2 linked regions of the Oryzias latipes genome follow. The protein of the gene in region 1 purifies or fractionates together with the protein of each later gene. This does not show direct contact. Links are inferred from orthologs where the notes say so. Each region holds a gene or a part of one and is shown on either strand. Other genes may lie near its edges. The genes, in order: ptpro and sdf2l1.

Region 1 (3,810 bases):
TCAGTGGTGGTATGTTGTGTTACTGATGTTGGTGTCAGTGGTGGGATGTTGGTGTCAGAGGTGGGATGTTGTGTGTCTGATGTTGGTGTCAGTGGTGGGATGTTGGTGTCAGTGGTGGGATGTTGTGTGTCTGATGTTGGATGTAGTGTGTCAGAGGTGGGATGTTGGTGTCAGAGGGGGGATGTTGTGTGTCTGATGTTGGTGTCAGTGGTGGGATGTTGGTGTCAGTGGTGGGATGTTGTGTGTCTGATGTTGGATGTAGTGTGTCAGAGGTGGGATGTTGGTGTCAGAGGTGGGATGTTGTGTGTCTGATGTTGGTGTCAGTGGTGGGATGTTGGTGTCAGTGGTGGGATGTTGTGTGTCTGATGTTGGATGTAGTGTGTCAGAGGTGGGATGTTGGTGTCAGAGGGGGGATGTTGTGTGTCTGATGTTGGTGTCAGTGGTGGGATGTTGGTGTCAGTGGTGGGATGTTGTGTGTCTGATGTTGGATGTAGTGTGTCAGAGGTGGGATGTTGGTGTCAGAGGTGGGATGTTGTGTGTCTGATGTTGGTGTCAGTGGTGGGATGTTGGTGTCAGTGGTGGGATGTTGTGTGTCTGATGTTGGATGTAGTGTGTCAGAGGTGGGATGTTGTGTGTCTGATGTTGGTGTCAGTGGTGGGATGTTGGTTTCAGAGGTGGGATGTTGTGTCTCTGATTTTGGATGTAGTGTGTCAGAGGTGGGATGTTGGTGTCAGAGGTGGGATGTTGTGTGTCTGATGTTGGTGTCAGTGGTGGGATGTTGTGTTACTGATGTTGGTGTCAGTGGTGGTATGTTGTGTTACTGATGTTGGTGTCAGTGGTGGGATGTTGGTGTCAGAGGTGGGATGTTGTGTCTCTGATTTTGGATGTAGTGTGTCAGAGGTGGGATGTTGGTGTCAGAGGTGGGATGTTGTGTGTCTGATGTTGGTGTCAGTGGTGGGATGTTGGTGTCAGTGGTGGGATGTTGTGTGTCTGATGTTGGATGTAGTGTGTCAGAGGTGGGATGTTGGTGTCAGAGGTGGGATGTTGTGTGTCTGATGTTGGTGTCAGAGGTGGGATGTTGTGTGTCTGATGTTGGTGTCAGTGGTGGGATGTTGGTGTCAGTGGTGGGATGTTGTGTGTCTGATGTTGGATGTAGTGTGTCAGAGGTGGGATGTTGTGTGTCTGATGTTGGTGTCAGTGGTGGGATGTTGGTTTCAGAGGTGGGATGTTGTGTGCCTGATGTTGGTGTCAGTGGTGGGATGTTGGTGTCAGTGGTGGGATGTTGTGTGTCTGATGTTGGTGTCAGTGGTGGGATGTTGGTGTCAGAGGTGGGATGTTGGTGTCAGAGGTGGGATGTTGTGTGTCTGATGTTGTGTGTCAGAGGTGGGATGTTGTGTGTCAGAGGTGGGATGTTGTGTGTCTGATGTTGGTGTCAATGGTGGGATGTTGGTGTCAGTGGTGGGATGTTGTGTTACTGATGTTGGATGTAGTGTGTCAGAGGTGGGATGTTGTGTGTCTGATGTTGGTGTCAGTGGTGGGATGTTGTGTGTCAGATGTTGTGTGTTGGATGAGATTGCTCCTCCCTAGAAGGATCTACACGGTGGCGTTCTCTCAGTTCCACCTGGAGGTCATGAAGGTCACATCTGTCCTTCTGCTTCCAGCCCGGTGCAGTTGGACGACTTTGAGGCGTACTTTAAAGACATGGGCAAAGACTCCGCCTACAAGTTCTCCCTGCAGTTTGAGGTAAGAGCTCTCCGCTGTGATTGGACAGTTTCAGTGAACACGATGCTCCTCCCACAAAGGTCACCTTTAACGGGCTCCAAGATCAGAAGCAGAATCTAAAGTTTTCTGTCACTTTCACGATGACATCACAGATGATGTCTGATGTCATCCAATGAGCTGGTTCAGCGACCAGCATGTTCGGATGTTGGGACGTGCTGCTGAGTCGGCATTCCTCAGTCTGTGGATGTTTGCAGGAGCTGAAGAGCGTCGGTCTGGACCTGAGCCACGACGCCGCGGACCTCCCGGTCAACAGGCCCAAGAACAGATACACCAACATCCTGCCCTGTGAGTTCTCCTCTGGAGGAGGAGCTGCTGCTCTCTTTCGTCGGGAGTCTGATCACCTCCTCTTTTCCAGACGACTTCAGTCGGGTGAAGCTGATCTCGTTGCACAACGATGAAGGTGCAGACTACATCAATGCCAACTACATCCCCGTGAGTCCCTAAAGCTCCGCCCCTCACACAGACCCTTAGCTCTCCACCAGGTGGAGCTGTTGACACCTGCTTGAACTTTTTGAGGATCTTGGATCAAAGTTCTTCTCAGTGAAGCTGCCGTTTGGTCTTCAGGGCTACAAACACTCCAGGGAGTACATCGCCACCCAGGGGCCGCTGCCCGAGACGCGCGTCGACTTCTGGAAGATGGTTCTGCAGCAGAAAGCGCCCATCATCGTCATGCTGACTCAGTGCAACGAGCGGCGGCGGGTGAGCGCTCGCACCGATGACCTTCAGACACGGAGATGAAGACCAGCCGGTGCTCAGACGGGGATGCTAACGTCACGCTGTCCTGCAGGTGAAGTGCGATCACTACTGGCCCTTCACGGACGAGCCAGTGATGTACGGCGAGATCAGCGTGGAGATGCTGTCCCAGAGCGAGTCCCAGGAGTGGATCACCCGCAAGTTCAGGCTGGAATACGTGAGTCCGTTCACCTGCGGGTCTGCAGCGCGGCAGGAGGCCGAACCCCCTCTGACCCCCCCCCCCCCCCCTCCCCTCCCCCCAGGCGGACGAGACGCAGGACGTCCTGCATCTGAACTACACATCGTGGCCGGATCACGGCGTTCCCACCGTCAACGCCATCGAGAGCATCCTGCAGTTTGTCCACATCGTCCGGCAGCAGGCCAACCGGACCAAAGACCCCATCATCGTCCACTGCAGGTCAGGGGGGGGGGGGGTGACAGACGTTCACCAGAACCAGATTTTAAGGGTCGTACTGAATCCATCAGAATCTGAGGGTTTTCTTTGGCGCCGTTCGTGACCTGACGCTTCACAAACAAGCGGATTCAGTTCATCTCTGTTTAGCTCTGCTTTTATTTTGCTAAAATGCTTTTATTTTGGAAAGAGCTTGGGAATGCTTGAATGTTTTAAAAAAATAACTCTTCCAGCTTTAAAATGAAATCATCCCAGAGCGACTGAAAGAATTTCATCCGAAACATTTCACGATCGTGACAGAACCTTTGAGCAGAACCCCCATGTTTGTGTTTCAGCGCCGGGGTGGGCCGCACCGGGACCTTCATCGCTCTGGACCGCCTCATGCAGCACATGAGGGAGCACGAGTTCGTGGACATCCTGGGGATGGTGTCTGAGATGAGGTCCCACCGGCTGTCCATGGTCCAGACGGAGGTCAGAGCCGATTCCCGGCAAACCACTGACCCACAGCCACTGCTGTTACTGTGTGTCCTCTCTGGGCTTCCGTAGCGGAGCCCGGGGCCTCACTGCCGCTGTGTTGTGTTCAGGAGCAGTACGTCTTCATCCATCAGTGCGTCCTGCTCATGTGGCAGAAGAAGAAGCAGCAGTCCATCACCTCGGACGTCATCTACGAGAACGCCAGCAAGACATAGAGCGCCGTCTGTAGACGTGAGTGCCCACCCGCCCTCCCACCCGCTTCCATCACAGGAGCTACCGGTGCCTGCTTGGTCCAAACTTGATCTAAAACCTGAGCTACCTGACCCTTCAGGGCCTCAGAGAAGCTTACCTGGCTGTTCAGAGGTCAGAAAGGTGTGGTCATGTGACCGTTTTCCAGGATCTTGGTCATG
Region 2 (4,582 bases), on another chromosome or scaffold:
CGCCAACATCTACTGACAAACAGAAATGAACCAGTAAGACCGACCAAACCGTGACGGGTGGGAAGTTGCATCCTGGGAAGTGTAGTTTTTATGCCTGAGAGCTGAAGGGGGTGAACATTTATGCAAAAAAAAGAAAAAAATCTTCACTTCAGTTCAAAAAGGTCAGCAGAGAGTTGAGAGGAGGCGGAGTCTGAGCCCAGCGGCTGCTGCAGTCTGAGCTGCACGGGAGGGGTCACTGAGGGGGGGCGCAGAACTGCTTCTGATGATCCAAAAAACCTGCAAACGGGACCCTAAAAGCCTGTTTGACAGACAGCAGCCGAGGACGGCGAGGCAGCGTGGCGCCCCCTGCAGGACGGTGCAATCAATGTGAAGCGGGGGCGGCTCCTTCCGTCATCCTTAAGTTCATAAAACAACCAAAATTCGCCTACCATAACCCCCACCCCCCCACGCCGAGGAAGGCGTGGCGTCAGCAGTTTGTATTTACATCCGGGAGCGCGGCGCCTGGCGCTGAGGTCAGAGCTCGTCGTGGCGCAGCGGCTCCATGCTGGGCTGGATGAAGACCCCCTCCATGGTGCGCCACCAGCTGTGCTGGGTGGGGGAGCTCATGCCGTGCACCTCGCGCTGGCCTCGGATGGGGTGTCCGTACTGCTCGCCCGTGACGCTCAGGAACACCTCGGTGCCCACGTGCTTGAACCGCACCGCCTCGTCTCGCTCCCACAGCACGCCGTCGCACTGGACCGTCCACACGTCCAGGTCGTCGCCCTGGCCGTTCTCGCCAAAGGCGCTGACCTCCTGCGGGACGCGAGACACGGATCGGTGACCTGCTGATCCGGACCACAACAGCACCACGGGAACACCCCACTGTGCCCGACACCAGAACCCGAGCAGAACCAGTTTAGACCCCTCCCCCTCAGCAAAGGGAGCCGCTTACCTGGTTGTTGGACAGCGGGGAACTGAAATGATGGGAGTGGAGGTTCCGGCCCGTCTTCATGTGCGTGATGCGGACGGCCTGGCCGCACTTGATGGGCGACCCGCGCTGACACGGACGGTCCGGTTTCCCCCGGATCTGCCAGTAACTGTTGGCGTCCTCGGCGGTCTCCACCCCGGTTACAGACTGCTGCCCGCTGCCTGCACACACAAACACACACGCACAGGTGAACAATGAAAATATTACCCCTTGTGCTATCTTGTGGGGTCCAGATAAAGCAGGTCTCTGCTCAAAAGAGTCTCTGAATCAAAGACCCATCAGGGTCCGGACCAGGAAGACCACCTGTGGGGTTGGAAAATCCCTCAGAGGTTCATGAACGCCTCACAGGAACTCAGGGATGGTCTTTGTGTTGCGTGAACAGCACCTGAGGGGAGTGGTTCGGTTTGTTCTAATGGAGGCGTGTCTACATTTTTTCAATCAAAATCTTTGTGATTCTGGAGCCGACGAAAAGATGCAGCTGGAAAAAGATTTGTGACAGAAAGTAAGTGGGCGGGGCCACAAGCTCTTTGTTTTCCTGGTCCGAGCTTGAATCAGGCTGAAAACGTCACACCTGGATGGCTCTGATACTGATCGCCATTTTTTCGCACCGCCAATGCTAGCTTGGGGTTGTGAAGGGCTGTAAGCTAGCAGGAGAGAGCGTCAGCAACAGTGAGAGACGGGGGGGGGCGAGTTATGTCCTAGAAAACGACACATTTGTATTGATTATGGATTGAAAAAACATCATAATCCTGATTAAAAGACTACTAGGAACGCGGTTATAGTAGGACGTAAGTATTAAATATGATTGCCAGTACTGTTGGGCGGAGCTTAAATAAAATGCATCCAACAAAAAGCAGTTTCATATTTCACCAGAAGGGGGCAGCAGTGCAGCAGCCACACTCATGCGCTCCTGTTCCACTGGTTAGTCTGCAGCAACAGTTCAGATTTTATTTTTGCTTTTTGTTTTTACTCCAGAGGTACAAACATAACTTTATACATTGAATCCTGTGTGGTCCACCTATATTATGAATTATCTGCACCCCCAAATGACCCCCATGAGACCACAGCAGAAACACTAATGAGCTTTAATATTTTGCACGTTTGTGTCATTTAACTGTTACTTGTTTGGAATTTAAAACCTTTTTTTTTAAATCAAAGTATTCAAAATCATAGTAAATCCGAGAGACCCCCAGAACCGGAATGGCAGCGGCACCACATGCCCATCTGTGATCCAGGCAAATGATTACCCCCCCTCTCCCAATAATAAATATTTGTTGTCACATTTATTTACATTATTATTCTGGTAATGCTTATTGTTCTGGTTTTGTTCATATTTTAATGATTTGTTTTTCAAACAGGATACTAACTTTTTGCATAAATTATTTGAAATGATGAATTGTAGGTGGTGAACACCTGTTAAAGGGGCCCTTGTTTGCCCCCCCAGCCCCCAGAGAGGCTTGTGACGCCCCTGTACGCAGAAACCCTCCGCAGGGTGAGCAGAACCTCCGTAGTTCGGCCCTTTCAGTCCACATGTGAAACGGGTCTGCTGGGTTCTGGATTGACTGCTGTACTTTCGCTTTAAAGAAGTCCAGTTTCTGAACAGAACCGGCACCTCCTCAGTGAACGGTGACGGTCTCTTACCTGAACCATACTTGACGTCGTGTGAATGCAGCCGGACGTTATGGCGCGTGTTCAGCAGCTTCACCAGGGAGCCGCACGTCACGTGGTTGAGTTCCGGTTCTTTGGCGCCGCAGCCGGAGCTCAGTAGCAGCAGAACCGACAGAACCGAGGCAACAATCCCGCGAAAAGCGACAGCAGCATCCATCTCTGACCTGACTCAAACACACCGGCACCAGCAGGCGGGACTTTCCTCCCGCACTCCACCAATCACGACGTGCCAAGTCCCTGTCACGTGGGCTCGTTCTCGCCCGTGATTGGTCACTGCGCGCCGATGTGCCGTCACAACATTGGTGACAAACAGGAAGTGAAGGACTGAAGGATCCCTTTTCAACGTTCATTCATTAAATTGTTCTTTTCACACTCACTCATTGATCCATTAATTATTGATACATTCATTATTCATCAAATAATTAATTCAAAGAATAAATTAGTCAATCGAATATTTATTTTTTGTTTGTATCGATTGATTCATTCATTTATACATTTGTCAAGGAATACTTTTTGAATGGTTTGTTTCAAAAATATTTGTTAGCGTTTACGAAGATTTTAATCATGCTTTCATTTATTTTTCTTCTGTTATTCATTTATGCAGGGCTGCCAACTTTTCATAAAAGCTTGGAGTGAGACTCAGGAAAAATAAGTCTCTATACGTCAGCAAGTCCTAAGACCAGTCTAGGGTAGTTTTGTGACAGTGTAATTCTTTAAATAAAGCACCACGAGGTAAAAAAAAAGAAAATTGAAAGAGCAACAAAAATCAATGATTCACTTTAAAAACATGAGGAACAAACTAAACTACATACTAAGACCAGACACAAGGCAAATTTAAAACTCTGTTCCCTCTAGTAATGACCTTTGGCGGTTTATGAGGCGTTGAGAATTCTAGTAAATGGCTCCCACTTGAAACACGGCTCAAGGCCTGCTGTTTTAAATGTCATTATCGATGATAAAGTTTCCTCCAAGGCCAAACTGTTCCTGGTCTTGGTTTTGTTTACATCTGAGGGGAGCAGCACCAGGATCATCTTTGCATGGTGACAAGCCTCTGGACCAGTCTGGCTCCTGTAAACTGTCAGAAATAAATAACATACAGTGCAATAAGCTATTAACTATTTCTTGTCTTTGTAAAGAAAAGCATTAGTTCAGTGCTTTCTCCACCATTCAATAGGGACAAGACCCAATTCTTTGGAACTTTTTTCTGTTAACTTTTTTAATATCTGCATTTCAGCAATGAGAAAATGGTTTGGCTGACTATGAATTTCTTATTTAATAGCATTTAGCATATTTCCTGTTGTGTTTCAGCACAGGCTGCGAGTAAAATCAGGCCACATTTGTCTCTGTCAGTTTCTGTAACATATCTTCAGGCAATCGTCATGTCTACTGTGTCTTATTGGGGTCCTGTTTGGTCACTTACAACTAATGAAATTGTATTATTGTTCTGTTTTGTCTTGCTATGTATGATGGATGCCTCGAGTTAAATTTTCTGCAGAGCAGAACAATATTTTTAAAATTTACAATGCCTTACAATTCCTTTGACTAAATTTACAATAATGTTTGTAAAAAATGTTACAATGTTTGATTTTAAACATCTACCTAGGGACTGCAGATGGAAAATAGCCCTTTGGCTAACTGGCATATTGACAGGAATGTCTATTAATATGTGCTGTCCCTGTATCAAGTAAATACATATAAAAAAAAAAAAACTTTGGTGAAGTTAGTTTTAAGTTGGATCCCCAGTGGGGTTTCTTAGGGACCGTCAACAAGTTAAAAGGGCATGATATGGCAAAGATTTCAGATCAAACCCAAAACTAAATGCTTTGCAAAAAGAAACAAATTACAATGAAAGATTCCCTCAAGTTCTATTCAAAGGATTTTGTTTATTTTGCAATGTTTTTATGAGAAAAATGGTTTGAAGTTAATATTCTGATATTTTGTTCAACA

What was found.
Region 2: the proteins of ptpro (region 1) and sdf2l1 purify together in Homo sapiens (affinity purification with mass spectrometry; 3 studies listed by BioGRID and IntAct, with this or other methods). This does not show direct contact. The link is inferred for Oryzias latipes from reciprocal best matches to the Homo sapiens genes PTPRO and SDF2L1.

What each region holds. Positions count from the first base shown.
Region 1 is NC_019881.2:23,563,788-23,567,597, forward strand, and holds part of ptpro (receptor-type tyrosine-protein phosphatase O), read left to right. Parts: intron 1-1,661; coding exon 1,662-1,743; intron 1,744-1,976; coding exon 1,977-2,067; intron 2,068-2,137; coding exon 2,138-2,214; intron 2,215-2,346; coding exon 2,347-2,481; intron 2,482-2,569; coding exon 2,570-2,692; intron 2,693-2,777; coding exon 2,778-2,932; intron 2,933-3,261; coding exon 3,262-3,397; intron 3,398-3,510; coding exon 3,511-3,615; 3' UTR 3,616-3,631; intron 3,632-3,810.
Region 2 is NC_019867.2:30,355,800-30,360,381, reverse strand, and holds the start of sdf2l1 (stromal cell-derived factor 2-like protein 1), read right to left. Parts: upstream 2,850-4,582; 5' UTR 2,793-2,849; coding exon 2,609-2,792; intron 1,129-2,608; coding exon 932-1,128; intron 793-931; coding exon 514-792; 3' UTR 1-513.